Linked DNA regions of Neurospora crassa OR74A. Each later gene encodes a partner of the first gene's protein in a complex. Links are inferred from orthologs where the notes say so. Each region holds a gene or a part of one and is shown in the gene's direction. Other genes may lie near its edges. The genes, in order: gul-1 and cot-1.

Region 1 (8,401 bases):
ACTGGGTATTTGAGATTTCGCCTGAAGGGGTGTTGACAATCTTCGCCATGGCCGCCCAGTAATGTCGTGGTGGGTATGGGTTTTGCTTCTTGGACGAGGCGAAGTTTCGCAACGATATCGCGGCGAAGCCGGCACCGAGACCCGTCATTCGGTCAAAATGCACCTGCTCCGTAACCCATCTTCCATTGTCCTTCCACCACCCTATCCTGGCGCGTCCTTGCTCCGTCTTCTCGCTGCCCCTATAACCCCACAGGACGGGACAGACGATGCGGAACTTGGCGAGAAGGATGTCGATCATGGAGGCCCCACGCCACGCGAATGCCGGGTCGGAAAACACGGCGGCAATACAGACACCCACGGGATCGGCTGTCTCTGGTCGTGGACCGCCTTCGTTGATGAACTGGGAAATGGTGGCCTTGGCGAAGACGTTCAGTAGATAGATAAATAGTGACGGGACCTGCGGATCGTTGTTGGTAGGCCCTTGAACTGGGGCTCGTGATTCGACGAGGAAGGTATTCGGGTCAACGAGCTGAGATTGTACGCGGTTTTCGAGCGCCTCGCGTAGTAGAGCAGCAATGGTATTGTTCTGTCATTGTGTCTGGTTAGCGCAGTCCCCCAAAGGCTGAAAACAGGCTTGATTTGGTGATTAAATACCTGTTGACGATTGACTCCCGCGCCGCCTCCCGTGAGTTGTCCAACACACTTTCTGATCTCTCGACGCATATCTCCCATACGGGCTTTAAGCGCCTGATTTGCTTTTGCTTGATCCAACATAGACTTCCGCAGCTCTTTCAGATTTTTGTGTATCACTGCCAATCGGTCAGGTCCTTGTTGCACGGGTGCTGGTGTCGGTGATTTGGCAATGGTCGTGGCCGTGGCGGTTCCATTGACCTGGATATTGTTCCCTAGCAAGTTACTGGTCGCAAGCTGAGAAGAGGCTGCAGATGCAGGCGTTGACTGCTTCAGGGCAGCAGTGGCGGGTTGCGCACTTGTTAGTGTCTGTCCAAATCCTCCAAAAGGCTTCGCTGCAGCCGGTGCAGACGCTGGCTGCAACTCGGGTTGCTTTTCGAAAAGTGTTTTGCCATTGACTTGGGTGGCGGGTGGTTGTGATGGGGATGCCGTTGAGGCAGGTTTCGGGGCTGGAGATGGTGCCTTTGCTGGCTCGAAGTCAGGCAGGACAGGCGGGATCTCGATTTTCTTCGCCTTGAGAGCGTTAAGCTTCCTTCGCTCAGCAGCAAGTTGTTCTTCTGCTCGTATCCTTTCCTCCTCTTTCTTGCGCTCCTCGACCAGACGTTCCTGCTCTTGTCTCAAGAGGTGTTCCTGGTACACCCTCTCGGCCTCCTCGCGTACACGTTCATGTTCCCTCCTAGCGGCCTCAATCAGAAGTCTATGCCGGGCCTCGGAATTGCGGTCTCCAGCAAGAATGTCGGATATGACTGATCGCGAGGAAGGGCTTGCCCACTGGTTGCCGTTTGGGCGAGCGGGGGACGAACCAGCCATCCTGTCGGTGGTTGGATGCGCTGCTGCTTGACAATCCCAGTCACCCGTCACGATTGCCGGACAGGTGGTACACTGGGGAAATTTTCAGGCAGATATATCGCTGCTTGGTTAAAAAAAAAATTGGGTGATGTTAAGGTGATCGTCCGGTGTTGTGTTCGGCTTGACAGTTGCGGAAGGGTACTATGGACACTATCAATTGGAGTTGTACTTTGCGCGCGTCGCGAGTCCAATAGCACTAAGTCCACTCCATGGGTGCGGTTTTAGTATGGCGGCATCCGTCTGTCTTGGTATCTTTACACACTGTGTGTGGTTAGGTGCAGTGGTCCTTGCAGCCGCTTTTGGTGGGGGAGAACGGATGGAAGTGGCACCTTTCTATAAACCAACCTGAAATCTAGCCTTGATGTATTGTTGGCAACAAAAACCTACCTACCTGTGTAGATATCACAAAGCGGCTTTGGCATCTATAACCCAAATTTAGATGTCTGCTCCTGCTGTGTTACGCTGAAATATCTCCAGGTCCTCGGGCGTCCGTATAAATTACAAAGTGATGGGAACAGTCAAGAGAAAGGGCTTCGGAGGTACAGCTCTTTGAAGTCGCCATTGTATGTACTTACGAAGCTAAGCTAAGGCAACGTGCTATTGACATCTCAAACGAACTTTAATGCAGGATGTGTGATGAATCAAGGATTCATCTTTTCATCGCAAGTTACTGCATAGGTATTACTTTGATCCATTGGTGCTGTGGACAGCAAATATCGTCAAGAAGGTCAGCTTGTGGTCTTTGTATATGGCAGATAGCAACTCCATTAGTTCCCGCAGGTATCCGTGTCTCTCTTCTCTTCAACCTCTTTTACGAATCGTACCGTCATCCAAAGACACAGACCCCCAAAGCCTGCCGGAGCTTCTGACACGGGAGACACGGCTGTCGTCTTGCAGTATGCGGTGTACTCGCGTCGATCCAGGGTTTAGGGTATCACCATCACCATTGACGTCTTCCCTGTTACGCCGGCAAGGCCAGTCCATATTCCCCAGGTGATGCCGGGCACATCATGATATGGGTTGGCGATCCTCTTTCCGACCACCGTTGAGTTTCCCCGAGAGAAACGTTCGAGCACGTATCTTCGAGTACATCTCGAGTTTGTCGTCCCTGTCCCTGTGCAGACACATTCGTGACAGGGAAGCATCGCCCAGCATACGCCATGTTTGAGATATCCTGAATCTAAACTAAATGAGGTATGGGGTAAAGACGATTAGCGGGAGTGTCCACTTCTGCCATTTGTGATTTTCCCGAGTCTGCTGAGGAACCGTTTCCCCACTGGCATCGTTGATTGGTGTAGGTAGTGTAGCTTCCCCCGGATGCTCCTGTCGCGGTCCTCGACTCTTCGAAGCTCTTGGCTATTGAACAGAAACTCCAGAAGTAGGTATGCAGTGGATGTCATGAGTGCAGATTTCCTTTTGAACAAAGGCCAGGAAGAAAAGACGGTTTTATAAAAGGGGCTCAAAGGTTACTTCATTCAGTAGTAGTTGGGTTGTAAGTGGAAGGGAAGAGGAGCACGGTGTGTCGCGCACATGGGGTATCCGGTGCACCACCCTCACACCCTGCGTGCTTGCACCTATCCTGGCGCTACTAACGGTAGCCCACCACTTCAGCCAACTGCCCAGCACCGCCGCTGATAGGTGCAACTGAAACCGTAAGAGATGCCTGCCGTGAACCCGGACCTTCCATGCTCCGCCGCCGCACCGTGTACACCTGCAGCATGCGCCTCCAAGGAGGGACGGACCTCACTCACCTCAGCAGGACGGACTGCCAGGCGGGCGGGCACCATCCTGTCCCGTCGTTTCCCTCTCACGCATCAGTTCGTCACTAGCATGTAGTCTAGGTGAGGTAGGTACCTCTAGGTAGATACTCTAGGTACAACCTAGCCAGCCCAGGATGCCCGCCGAAGGATGGACCTTTCGGGTTCCTCTCGCTGACTGCCGCTGCGGCGCTGAAAGTGCTCTGCTCCTCCTCCTCCTCCTCCTCTCAGGTCCAAGGCCCAGTCCTCCTGACTTCCTATAGCACCGAACCTCTTTCTCCCGTCCTCCGACTCCTCCTCCTCCTGCACTCTCCCTTTCCCCTTCCCTCCTCACGAACCTCAATCCGCATCGGCTTCAGGCTTCCCTCTAGCTTCAACGTCAACTAGCAAAGCCGGACACCTCCCTCCCTTCTCTCTACACTCCCTCGTAGCAACTTTTCAATCTCTCATTATAACCTCTTTGGACTTGATTTCTTTCATCCAATCCGCTTTAACTGCGAAACAAAACTGTCCTTTGGGGCGACGTCTCCGCACCGCAACCAAACATACCGCAACTCCCATCGCATCTGATGCATCGCAACGGCAATCCGGCCACACAAAAAAGATAAACCCAGCTCAATAACCTTCCCCCTCGTCTCTGTTCGGTCGACCACGCCTCGATTCGATTCGACTCGACTCGACTCGACTCGTCTCGTGCTCTACTTTACTACTTCTTCACACGCTTTAGGTCCAACGCCGACTTCGCCTTGCATTCGCACTCGACGTGCACGTTTTCTGCCTGGATCACCCGAGTCATCTGCACCTGTCCGTCCCAACAACCTGCATCATGGATCAGCAACAGCAGCCTCAAGGAGGCGTCTCTGGCCCCGCCGGCCGACGGCTCCATATCGCCCATCGAAGAAGCCCGTCGGAGCTGACCCCGTTGATGAGTATGTTTTCAAACACGAACAGTATGTTTTGAGTTTTGCTATTGTCATCGCCATTGCCATCGTGTACTATCGCGGCGCCCCTCTACCGCTCTTGCACTGGTCCGTTCTTGTTCGTGGCGAAAAGCTTCAAAAGCCAATGATCGTACCCCTGACCCCGTCGCGTTCCCGTCTTGTGTCCTGACTGTAACCCCTCATCCCCCTCTTCAATGCGCTGGCGTACTGACTGGATCTTTTTTTCGGTGCAGTGGAACAGCTTGCCATCCAGCAGCAGATCGAACTCCTTCAGCAGCAGCAACAGCAGATTACAGCTCAATATGCCAACCTCGGCATGCTTCCGGCCACGCAACCCCTGGGCCCTGGCGGATTCACCAACTTCCAGCCCATTGCCGGTTTGGCGCCTCAGGCGGGCTTCCAGTTCCCGGTCCAGCTGCAGCAGCAGCCGCCCCTAGCTCCTCCTACACAACCGCTTTCACATCGCCGTAATCAGTCGGCCATTCCAAACATGGGCATGGGGGGCCCGCCGCCTGCTCCCTCTGCCGGCGCCTCTGGTTCGACGTTCGGCAACTTCCAAGATCCCACCCAGGGTCACGCCCGAGAGAACAGCACCGGCGGTCGTGGTGGTCGGGGTGGATCCGGCGGCGGTCATCAGAGAAGACATTCCTTGGCCTTGGCTGATGCCAAGAAGGCCGCCGAGATCGCCCAACAGAAGCGCACGACGTCTACCTTCCAGTTCCCTGCTGCTCCTGCCCCTGGCTCCTCCGAGAAGTCTGAGGATGATGCCAAGACCACCCCGAGCACCACTCCTGCTCCGGCGGAGGGCCAGATAGCTCAGGGATCGTCGTTCCGTGGCGGTCGTGGCGGCCATGGCAGGAGCCAGAGTATGGCTGTTGGTGCCAATGGCCGTGGTGGCCGCGGAGGCCATTTCTCTACCGACTCCGTGGGCCAAGGCAGCGACTTTTCCCGCCGCGCTCCTGGTAGCGGCCATGCCCGCACTGGTTCCCGCAACTTCGACGGCAACTGGAGGAACCAGAACCAGAACCAGAACCAGAACCAGGCTCAGGACCAGACCGCTGCCCTTCCTCAGAGCCAGGGCTTCCAGCCCGGTCACCGCAGCCGCGGCTCGGTGAGCCAGTCCATCTCTTCGATTGGATCCTTCCAGTATCCTGGACAGCCTCAGCTGGTTCAGTTCCCCGGTCAGATGATGATGCCCCAGGTTTTCCCTGGCCAACAACTCAATCCGATGCAGCTCAACCAGCTTCAGGCTCTTCAGCTTGCTCAGATGAATGGTCAGCCACTTACCGGTCTTGCCGCCAGCCAGCACGCTCCTCAAATGGCTGCTCCTGGTCAGCAAAGCCAGCAACAGCAGCGCAAGACGCTTTTCACTCCTTACCTTCCCCAAGCTACTCTTCCTGCCCTCTTGGGTAACGGCCAGCTTGTTTCTGGTATTCTTCGCGTGAACAAGAAGAACAGAAGCGATGCGTACGTCTCGACGCAGGATGGCCTGCTTCCCGCCGATATCTTCATCTGCGGCAGCAAGGATCGCAACCGTGCTCTCGAAGGTGATCTCGTTGCGGTCGAGCTGTTGGATGTTGGTGAAGTGTGGGCGCAGAAGCGCGAGAAGGAAGAAAAGAAGAAGCGCAAGGATATTACCGACACTCGTTCTGGCTCCATTAGTGGAGGCCAAAATACTGGTGACGACAATGGCAACGCTGAGGGGGGACTCCGCCGCCGTGGCAGCCTCAGACAGCGTCCTACCCAAAAGAAGAACGACGACGTGGAAGTTGAAGGTCAAAGTCTTCTTTTGGTTGAGGAAGAGGAGATCAATGATGAGCAGCAGCCTCTCTTTGCTGGTCACATTGTTGCTGTTATTGAGCGTGTTCCCGGCCAAATGTTTTCTGGTACCCTTGGTCTGCTCCGCCCGAGCAGTCAGGCTACGAAGGAGAAGCAGGAAGCTGAACGCGCTGCGAGAGACGGTGGCAATGGCCGCCAACAAGACTCGCGCTCCCACGAGAAGCCCAAGATTGTTTGGTTCAAGCCCACGGACAAGCGTGTTCCTCTGATTGCCATTCCTACCGAGCAAGCACCCAAGGACTTCGTGGAGAAGCACCAGGACTATGCGGACCAGATCTTCGTGGCTTGTATCAAGCGCTGGCCCATCACTTCTCTGCATCCGTTTGGTACCCTCGTTGAGAAGCTGGGCAAAATGGGTGATCTTAAGGTTGAGACCGATGCCCTCCTTCGTGACAACAACTTCGCGTCCGACGAGTTTGCTGAGGCTGTTTTGCGCAACGTCAGCCAGCAAGACTGGTCGCTTGAAAGTGAGGATCAAGCTGCTCTTGCCGCTCGCCGTGACTTCCGTGGCGAGAATGTGTTCACTGTTGAATTAGATAGCTCTGTCGAGCTTGGCAACGGTGTTCATTTCAAGCAGTTGCCTGACGGCAAGATCGAAATTGGTATTCACGTTCCCGATGTCGCCCACTTCGTCAAGCCCGGCTCACTCGTTGACCGTGAAGCTAAGAAGCGCGGTACTGCGGTCCATCTTGTCAACCGCTTCTGTGCCCTTCTCCCCCCCAAGCTGTCGAGCGAGCTTTGCACCCTCACTCCTGAACAGGATCGCTTGACTTTTAGCGTTGTGTTCCACGTCAACCCCCAGACTGGCGCGGTGGCCGAAGGCGACACCTGGATTGGAAAGGGTATCGTCAAGAGCGGCGGGAAGGTGTCGCTCAGCGAGATCGATGAAGCCATTTCCGGTAGCAGCGGATTCTCCCATCCATCTGTGAAGGCCCTGGACATCCAGATTCTCAACGCTGTCGCCCAGAAGTTCCGTGAAGCTCGCTTGGGCGCCGGTGGCGAACCCATTGCGCCTCTCCGTCTCCTCCAGCAACTTGATGATGAGAACATCCCGCCTAAGCACAACATTTTCGAGTCTAGCCAGGCCACTGAACTTGTCGAAGAGCTTATGCACAAGGCCAACACCCATGTTGCCCAACGTCTGGCGCAGGGACTCCCGGAGAAAGCCCTTCTGCGCAGGCAGTCTGCTCCTAACTCCCGCCGCCTACAAACTATCATTGACCGTATGACTGCTTTGGGCTACGACATTGACGCTACTAGCAGTGGTACCCTACAGAATAGCTTGTTCAAGATTGACGACTCTGACATCAGAAAGGGTATGGAGACCCTCCTCGTCAAGTCTATGCAGCGCGCCAAGTACTTCATTGCGGGCAAGACTGCCAGTCTGCTTTGGCCTCACTATGCCTTGAACTTACCCCTCTACACTCATTTCACGTACCCCACCAGGCGCTACGCCGACATCATTGTTCATCGTCAGCTTGAGGCTGTTCTTTCTGATGGAAAGATTGAATATACTGAGGATTTGGAGAACCTTGTCAAGACCGTAGAGTCTTGCAACACCAAGAAGGATTCGGCTCAAAATGCTCAGGAACAGAGTGTTCACATCGAATCTTGCCGCACCATGGATAAGAAGCGGCAGGAGGTTAATGGCGACCTGATCAGCGAGGGTATCGTCATTTGTGTGTACGAGTCTGCCTTCGACGTCCTCATTCCGGAGTGGGGCTTCGAGAAGCGTGTCCACTGCGATCAGCTTCCTCTAAAGAAGGCCGAGTTTAGAAAAGAGAAGAGAGTTCTTGAACTCTACTGGGAGAAGGGTGTTCCCAGCTCCGCCTACGTTCCTGAAGATGAGCGCCCCAAGGCCGCCGCTTCTCAGCGCATCTCGAATGCTCTCGCTGCTGCTCGCCAGGCTGAGGAGGCCGAACGCGCTAAGAAGGATCGCGAGGAGGCTGCCCGCAAGCAGATCGAGACTGGTACCGTCTCGCACGATGATGTTGACGCTCTGTTCCAGGACGAGGACGAGGACGACATCGAGGACAATGCCTCTGATATCACCGAGGCCATGGCCGGCGCATCTCTTGCGGAGCGCCCGACTCAGAGCGTGCCTGGCTCACCTACTCAGTCTGCGGCTGAGGCCGTCGGTACCCTCCACCGTACTCGGTCTGATTCGAAGGTGCCCGTCGGTGAGGCGCCCGAGGCTCGCTTGACCAACAAGGAGAAGTACTTGAAGCTCTTCAAGCTCCGCGAGGAGGGTGGCGAGTACATCCAGGATGTGACGGAGATGACCCGTGTGCCTGTCATCCTCAAGACCGACCTTTCCAAGAGCCC
Region 2 (8,487 bases), on another chromosome or scaffold:
AAGGGGAATGAAGAATGGAAGACGGGGCCCCAGACAAGGTAGGAGTTGACTTGGTTGAACTACTTGATTCACGAGTTTACTGGAAGAGGCGTCTCATTATATGATGTGTGGAAGAGGGCTGCAGAGATCAGAGATATCGCCAATCTCATCTGATTAGCAACCGCTAACACCTAGCCTTTTAATATACCCAACAACTAGTCCACATCCAGCTTTTCTTGGCCATTGCTTATTCATACACTGTGATCGTAACATGCGCCTCCTTTATATCTTTTGTTTGTACATGAGGATAAGATGCCAGTTGGACACAAGTTTCCTGTATCAACAGTACCACCTCGCTTATTCAACATCCTTATCCTCCAAAGGGACAAGCTTCTTCTTGTTGAAGGCCTTGTCATAGCCCCAATGACAGGCCTTCCTCAATGAACCCTTGATCCAGCCCTCGACCTCCTCCTCGGGCACTTTAATCTTGCTCACCCGATCCTCGTCCTCGGGCGTCAAGGCAAACCTCCTCATGCGGTGCGCAAGTCTTGGGTCCATAACCACGGGCTTGATATGGATCTTTTCCGTCACTTCCTTATCGGCATCGGCCTCATCCTCTTTCCATACCTTCTTGGGCCAGTCCTGCTCCTCCCACTCGAGCTCCTTCGCCTGCTCATACTGCACCGAATCGGTAGAAGGCGCGTCTGGGTTGGTTTGTTGCTGGAACTCGCGGTGGGTTGCCAGGCACACAGCGGCGACTTCGCGGCCGATGTCGTCGGCGAGTGAGCGGCGGTTGAAGAATCGGACCATGCGTGTAGGGGTGTTGAGGAAGCCGAGAATGTGAGGCTCACGGATAGGGACCGCAGGGGTGAGTTCCTGTGGCGTCAGGGGATGAAGGGTCTCGGACGAGTAATCGGAGGTCGTGTTGTATGGCTTGGGTTGGGGTGGGCGCTTGGGCTTCGGGGCTTCCTCCTCCTTCTTCTCCTCCGCGGGCTTGTCTTCTGTAGATGTGCTACCCTCGGCCGCAGCGGGTGCGGGTGTGGGAGGGAGTGGCGCAGGCTCAGCGGGCGCGACCAGCGGCCCTAACCAACCCTCGTGCAGGCCCCGGAGGTACTCCTTCCATGTGTGACGGCCAATGACAACATCGCCGCGAACACCTTCGTAGTCCTTGATGCCGCGCTGCTGGCGGTAGATCTCTATCAACTCGTCCTTGGTAGGCTCGCGGTTGGGGTCCTGCTCCTCTTTGTTCTCCCAGCCACGGCGCACCTTGCGCAATCTTTCTGCGACTACGGCGCGCACGTCGCCTTCCCGGCGGCCCTGCACAAACTCCCAGTCCAAGCCACTGGCGGCCAGAACAGGCTTGACGTATTCTGTGTAGTGATCCTGAGCGACGCGCAGGCCGTCGCCGGGCGGGGCGGAGAGGTAGATGGTCAGCTTGCGCGGCTGTTCAAGACCGAGTTTATCGGTGATGGGTTCGGCAGCCAGGTGCTCGACGGCGTGTCTCCATTTCGCAATGTTTCGCCTCTTCTCGCGGCGGTCGTAAATAATTGCAGCTGTGATGGAGGCCGAGACGGTCCAGAAGATCATCCAATTTCGGGAGGGGAGCTTGTTGGGCAGGTTAGGGAGACCGAGCATGCGAAGTGCCTGGTTCTGCGGCCTCAGGGCTTTCGGAGGAGGAGGAGGAGGAGGAGGAGGAGGCTAGGTGTGATGTGAGCCATAATATTCAGAAATACGATGAAGTGCGAAGGAGCCAAAGTGTAACATACTGTAGCCGTAGTTGCAGCCGGAGCGGCAGGCGGCGCAGTGGACGCCGGGGGTACTGGGTCGGCCATGGTATAAAGTGTTGCGCCGGCTGATGCTATTACTCTGATGTATGTCGTGTGGTGATGGAGTTTGCGCAATTACGGGCGCATGCAGCTTACTGTGACGGCGCGAGGGGTATCGTAGGGAGAGATCGGGGGGTGGTTCTCGCGGGGGGCGTCACAGTTGGAAGACAACTTGAAGAGGACGACGGGATTCCGTAACGATTGTACGGACTACGGACAGCGACTCCGTAGGAGCTCCGTTGAGGACCTTGGGGCCGGTGCAGCGGAGCACCCGACTGCCAAAATTCCCGGACACACTTTCTTATCGCGATAAGCCGATAAGCCATTCCCGCGGCGGCACCCACCTGCATCTTTCATCGCGTTTAGTGGTTGTGCACGGGCCATATGCGAAGGTCAACCGCACGTCATGCCAGTGACACTTGAATTAACTTTTAGTGTATAAATGCAGACCACGCAGACTTGGAACGGCCCAAGATTTTATCTTGAGAGTTCCAAGATAGTCTCATGTCTGGACTTTACTCTCATAAGTTGGGGAATTTAGTCAGCCCTATTGAAGCAGGTTCCATCTTTCTGAGCCAGAACTATAGGTTCTAAAAGCGTCTGCAAAGGGTACCTGAGCTTGTATAAGTCGGGCTACCTGTTCCGTGTTCTTACTTTCCCTGGATTCTCTGCTGAAGCATCGTAGAGGATGTCTCTACAGTAGACAATTGTATACTCGGTCGTGGCGACTTGGGCTTCATGTGCTGTCAGCGATCATGATGACCTCTTGCGTGATCAATGGGCACAACTGTTCCGAGACGCTGCAACCCCTGAAAGAACAGGAGCACCCAGGGAAGATGCGGTGTCGATGGCGCTAAGCGTGTTCACCCCACCTTCAGCTCCACCAGGATGCCCCTTCGATCAATTGCAGACCCGGGAGTGCCCGCTCCCAGCCAGTAACAAATTCCCGGACCAGAGTCTCGATGCTCTCGAGGTCCAATGCCGTTGCGTCGAGCTTCAACACTCGGGGGACTGGTGGTTTACCTATAGTGTGCTTGTGAGGCACGAGAAGATGGCAGCAGTGCGGAACAGACAGCAACGAGTTGACGTCTGACGATGAGGTTGGAGTCAGGGGTTTTCAGGTTGACCAGGGCACCCCATAGTTAGGTGGTCCTGTTTCGGCCTGGAGCTCACCACTGGACCTGGGCATGTCATCCCAAACATGGAACCCCTCTTTCTACGACCTCCTTATTCCTGGGCATCGTGTACTAGATTCACATCGAGGCCAGCTTCCTGTGGCAACAGAAAACGGAAACGTAAAGATGCTCCTAGTTGTCTGTTGTTATTCAAGGTGTCCTTTGAATGCGCCCGTGGCTGTCTCATATCATCACAGTCTATGTCTTGGTCACTTATAGATGGGATCTGTTAGGTTCCATGTCACCTCTATACGTCTAGGTCTTTATTTATACTGATACCGCAGGGACCCTGCCCCACCTGCTTCCCTTCCGTTTGTCTGATTCGTCCGTACCTAGGTTCTCCGAATTACAGCGCCCTGAATCGCCTCCAGCCAGTGCTCTCCTGTCAGACTCCTTCCTGTAGGTAGGCTGGAGAGGCTCACGTCGGTCACGCTTCCACTTTGCTTCCACTTCCACACTGCGCCTATCGACTGCACGTTCCAGCGGGACACTTCCACTTCGGACGGTGCCACTCAACCACCTGCCCCCCCAGCCTGGCCGCCCTCGATTCCCATCCCTACCATCTACAGTAGCCAACCGTCGTTCGATCCTCGTTGGACCCTGGTCCCAAGAAAAAGCAACCTCCTTTCCTCCCGTCTCCCCATACCTATCCCGTCTTGTACACAAACCCCTTTCTGTGCGCATAGATCCCATCGATCGGTCTGGGAGCTCGACTCTGATCGTTTCTCCATCTGCCGTCCCTCGGAATCTCGTCTGAGCTCGCTTGCGCCCTTCCCGCTACATACACCCGGAATCCACTGTTTACCGTTTAGAGACAAGGTACCAAGATGGACAACACCAACCGCCCCCATCTCAACCTGGGCACCAACGATACCCGCATGGCTCCAAACGATCGTACCTATCCCACCACCCCGTCCACCTTCCCCCAACCCGTCTTCCCAGGTCAACAAGCCGGTGGTTCCCAGCAGTACAACCAGGCCTACGCCCAGTCCGGCAACTACTATCAACAGAACCAGTATGCCAGCCACTACGCCCCTCCTGGTGCCGCCGACTACGGCTTCGTTCAAGCTCATTCTAACATTGACGGTACTAGCAACGACCCCAACACTGGTCTCGCCCACCAGTTCGCCCATCAGAACATTGGCAGCGCCGGAAGAGCCTCTCCCTACGGTTCTCGTGGCCCATCTCCCGCTCAACGCCCTCGCACATCCGGAAACTCTGGCCAGCAGCAAACCTACGGCAACTATCTGAGCGCCCCGATGCCTTCGAATACCCAGACCGAGTTCGCTCCCGCTCCCGAGCGGAACCCCGACAAATATGGCCCCAATGCCAACAACAACCAGAAGAAGTGCTCACAGCTGGCCTCTGACTTCTTTAAGGACAGCGTCAAGCGCGCCAGGGAGCGCAACCAGAGGTGAATGCTGCAGCGATGCGCTTTTGCCCCTACATCCCGCCGTGATCGGTGCTGACACCCTTTTCAGACAGAGCGAGATGGAGCAGAAGCTCGGTGAGACCAACGATGCCCGCCGTCGCGAATCGATCTGGTCAACCGCTGGCCGGAAGGAGGGCCAGTATTTGCGCTTCCTGAGAACCAAGGACAAGCCCGAGAACTACCAGACCATCAAGATCATCGGCAAGGGCGCTTTCGGCGAGGTCAAGCTCGTGCAGAAGAAGGCCGACGGCAAGGTTTACGCCATGAAGTCGCTTATCAAGACGGAAATGTTCAAGAAGGACCAGCTTGCCCACGTCCGAGCAGAAAGAGATATCTTGGCCGAGTCGGACAGCCCATGGGTTGTCAAGCTCTACACCACCTTCCAGGATGCGAACTTCCTTTACATGCTCATGGAGTTCTTGCCCGGTGGTGACTTGATGACCATGCTGATCAAATACGAAATCTTCTCGGAGGATATTACCCGTTTCTACATTGCCGAAATCGTCTTGGCTATCGACGCGGTCCATAAGCTGGGCTTCATTCACAGGTAAGCTTCGCCGGAAGCAATGCTCTGGAAAAGAGATACTGACACGGTTGTGCATGCAGAGATATTAAGCCAGACAACATCCTTCTTGATAGGGGTGGTCATGTCAAGCTTACAGATTTCGGTCTCTCTACCGGCTTCCACAAGCTCCATGATAACAACTACTACACACAACTGCTCCAGGGCAAATCCAACAAGCCGCGCGACAACCGCAACTCGGTTGCTATTGACCAAATCAACCTGACGGTCAGCAACCGTGCACAGATCAATGACTGGAGACGCTCCAGACGTTTGATGGCCTACTCGACCGTCGGTACACCAGATTATATTGCTCCGGAAATCTTCACTGGCCATGGTTACTCGTTTGATTGCGATTGGTGGTCTTTGGGTACCATCATGTTCGAGTGCTTGGTCGGCTGGCCTCCTTTCTGCGCCGAGGATAGCCACGACACTTACCGCAAGATCGTGAACTGGAGGCACTCGCTTTACTTCCCGGATGACATCACCCTTGGTGTAGATGCCGAGAACCTTATCAGAAGGTATGCATGCTTTTGACTTCCCCCAAAATCACGCGCTCACCATATTGACTTGTCATAGCCTCATCTGCAACACTGAGAACCGTCTCGGCCGTGGTGGTGCTCACGAAATCAAGAGCCACGCCTTCTTCCGCGGCGTTGAGTTCGACAGCTTGCGTCGCATCCGTGCGCCCTTCGAGCCCCGTCTTACATCCGCCATCGATACCACATACTTCCCTACGGACGAGATTGACCAGACGGATAACGCCACGCTGCTCAAGGCTCAGCAGGCCGCTAGGGGCGCCGCTGCCCCTGCGCAGCAGGAGGAGAGCCCAGAACTCAGCTTGCCTTTCATTGGATACACGTTCAAGCGTTTCGACAACAACTTCCGATAATTGCGTTACGTCTTCTCGCTGTCTGAATAATGAGCGTTGGTTTTCTTGGGGGGGAGGAAGGGGGCGTAATAGTGATGGCGAAAGGGAGAAGAGGTTGTGCTGCGGGGCGGCAGTATCTGGGTACCCCTTATACTTGGCTTTGACGTCTTTGCTAGCTCGCGGTGCTGTTGAAATTTCTGATGGCAGAGACACTTTGCTGATAGTACGCGAATTTTCCGTTCCGCATATATGGCTGAATAAGTACAGAAACATAATGTATGGACTGCATCTTCTGGGCGAGGAACTGGGAAGCCCTGAAGCGAGCAACGGGGGAGAATAAAAGCGGCAAGAGACATGAACGTTGCGTATGGCGTGATGATGGAGATGTTTGCATATCTAGTAACCGAATCGAGCATTCGCTTGCCCAAGTTAAAATACAACTTGCGCCTGCTCAAAGCTACCAAATGTAGAGATCCATCCATACTGAAAATGATGCATTTTTGCACGTAATTACATTTTTTCTGAAATTACCGCTAATTCAGTAGTCCGTGCCACAGTCCGTGCACCCCAACTTCCAGGTTGGGCATCAACTTCCATACTGCTGGGCGCCTCAATTCTATACCGTTTAATATACCGATTAGCTTCCTAGTATTATTAGATTTACTAGATTTAATCTAGTAACCCCTCAATACTATGCCCGCGATACGAAACGGTCGAACCGAGGCTATAATTAGAAAGTTCGCCCTTATCGACGAGCTTGGGCGCGCGAACTAGATTGCTATTTACAATTATTACTAATAGCGCGCCGCAATGAATGTTACCCGTATACGCCAATACTTCGATACCGAGTATCAACTCTACTAATATTACCGCTTTTGTTAATGAATTGAATATTGTAAGGATATCCGTAATTATATTGTATCGCTAAATCCTACTCAAGTAAAGAAAATTAACTAGTACGCCGCTAAAACTATCCTTATTAACGGTAGACTATTTAATTTATTTGAATTATCCTCTATAAGGGTATTTCTCTATACTATTATACCTTCGTATATTCTACCTAATATGAATTCTATTATAAATAATTAGTTACTCCTTATTTATAATTAAATAAGGGTATAGATAAAAGAGAAGTATATCGATAGAACGAATTATATTAATATATTCTTTAATAAGTTAAATAATTATACTAATAAATAAATTATTAATATCTTCTTCTCTATACCTAATAATAGAAGTACTTTCTTCTAATATAACTAATATATTTAAACTATCGAATATACTGCTATAAACTTCGCCGGTCTTATTATAGAAGTATATACTAGTATAATTAATATCCTAATTAAAATTAATAGCTTTATTACCAATATATATACTATAGTCCGGTATATAATATATACCCTAATAATTAGGCGGTTTACTTAAGTATTTCTAGTATTATACGATTTACATTTACTTTAGCTACTAATGAAAAATTTGCTTACTCTACTACTATTTAGAGTATTAAATTATTAAATTTCTATAATAATTAATTTCTTTTGTACTTCGAAGTTACAATTAGCTTATTTTAAAGGATTAATAATAATATACTATAGTAAACTTATTTTAATATTAGTAAAGTAAGTATAAAATTATTCCTATTTTTAATATTTATACTATATATTAATAAAATTAATATAATTACTAAATGGGGTTTATAATATAGATTTCTATAGTTAGTATAACGTATAAAGCCTACCCTTACTATATTTACCTAGCAAACCCGCTTTAATAATAGTTAGTATTAAGACCCCCCCCGTCTCCCCTTTTAACTTTAACCTTAATACTTTTAATAAGGCAGTCTACTCCTAGTAATACTCCTTCTACCCCCGGCGGTACCCGTATAAAATAAATTTATACGTATAAGTTAAATATTTAATATTATTAAGAACGCGGGGTTCTAGTACGGTTTTAAAACTTTTGAAAGGTTTATAAAACTATTTTATAAAGTTTAATTAATATTAGAGGTAGATAGAGCGACCGTTAATTACGTAATACTACGGTGGAGTACTATATATACTATATAGGAGGCCGACTATATATCCTTCTACTAAAACGATTAATATAAATTCAAATATCTCTATATACTTCGAAAATAACGATAATTAACTCCATTAAATTAGCTAAACTTCCTCCTATACTTAAATACTATATAAAATATAGTAGTTAGCGTTTATCCCCCCGTCCCTAATTTTACTACCTTAATATTAAATTTTATTAAGTTATATATTCGTATTTTATATAACGTTATAGAGGAGCGGTTGGTATAGGACTTTTTATAATTTAGAACTCGCTACGGGATATATTTACTAAATTAGCGTATTTAGGATTATAAAGATATTAACCCTATATCCTTCTAGAGTATATTCTTTAATAAAGGCTCTATTATTACCCCCTTCGCAGTAAGGGTATTCAATACCCCAGCCAATAGTATACCGTATAAGCGCGCCTTCTCTACTATAAATTATTTAAAGAATCTAAGGCGCAACCACCTCGCCGCCGATAAAATAGATATAATTATATTCGTTTATATAAACGGGAGGAAGCTTAAAAACCTCTAACAATCTTTTACTAGTTTATCCGCTATAGATAAGAACAACCTG

The links.
Region 2: the proteins of gul-1 (region 1) and cot-1 are in contact, whole or in part, in a crystal structure (PDB 5NCL), measured with the Saccharomyces cerevisiae proteins. The link is inferred for Neurospora crassa OR74A from reciprocal best matches to the Saccharomyces cerevisiae genes SSD1 and CBK1. Residues at the interface, in NP_010579.1 of Saccharomyces cerevisiae: Phe211, Lys212, Phe213, Pro214; in NP_014238.3 of Saccharomyces cerevisiae: Asp450, Val451, Arg453, Phe454, Phe672, Arg673, Gly674, Val675, Ile680, Glu684, Ala685, Pro686.

Annotation. Positions count from the first base shown.
Region 1 is NC_026505.1:3,209,978-3,218,378, reverse strand, and holds the start of gul-1 (cell wall biogenesis protein phosphatase Ssd1), read left to right. Parts: upstream 1-3,496; 5' UTR 3,497-4,122; coding exon 4,123-4,246; intron 4,247-4,470; coding exon 4,471-8,401. Other genes in the region: gle-1 protein, read right to left, coding at 1-586, 655-1,500. UniProt on the Saccharomyces cerevisiae protein: Can suppress the lethality due to deletion of SIT4, and partially the defects due to BCY1 disruption. Is implicated in the control of the cell cycle G1 phase.
Region 2 is NC_026504.1:4,482,005-4,490,491, reverse strand, and holds cot-1 (serine/threonine-protein kinase orb6), read left to right. Parts: upstream 1-3,170; 5' UTR 3,171-3,807; coding exon 3,808-3,995; intron 3,996-4,073; coding exon 4,074-4,394; intron 4,395-4,461; coding exon 4,462-4,959; intron 4,960-5,018; coding exon 5,019-5,495; intron 5,496-5,553; coding exon 5,554-5,866; 3' UTR 5,867-6,329; downstream 6,330-8,487. Other genes in the region: tim54 (mitochondrial import inner membrane translocase subunit tim-54), read right to left, coding at 337-1,677, 1,746-1,811. UniProt on the Saccharomyces cerevisiae protein: Protein kinase that seems to play a role in the regulation of cell morphogenesis and proliferation.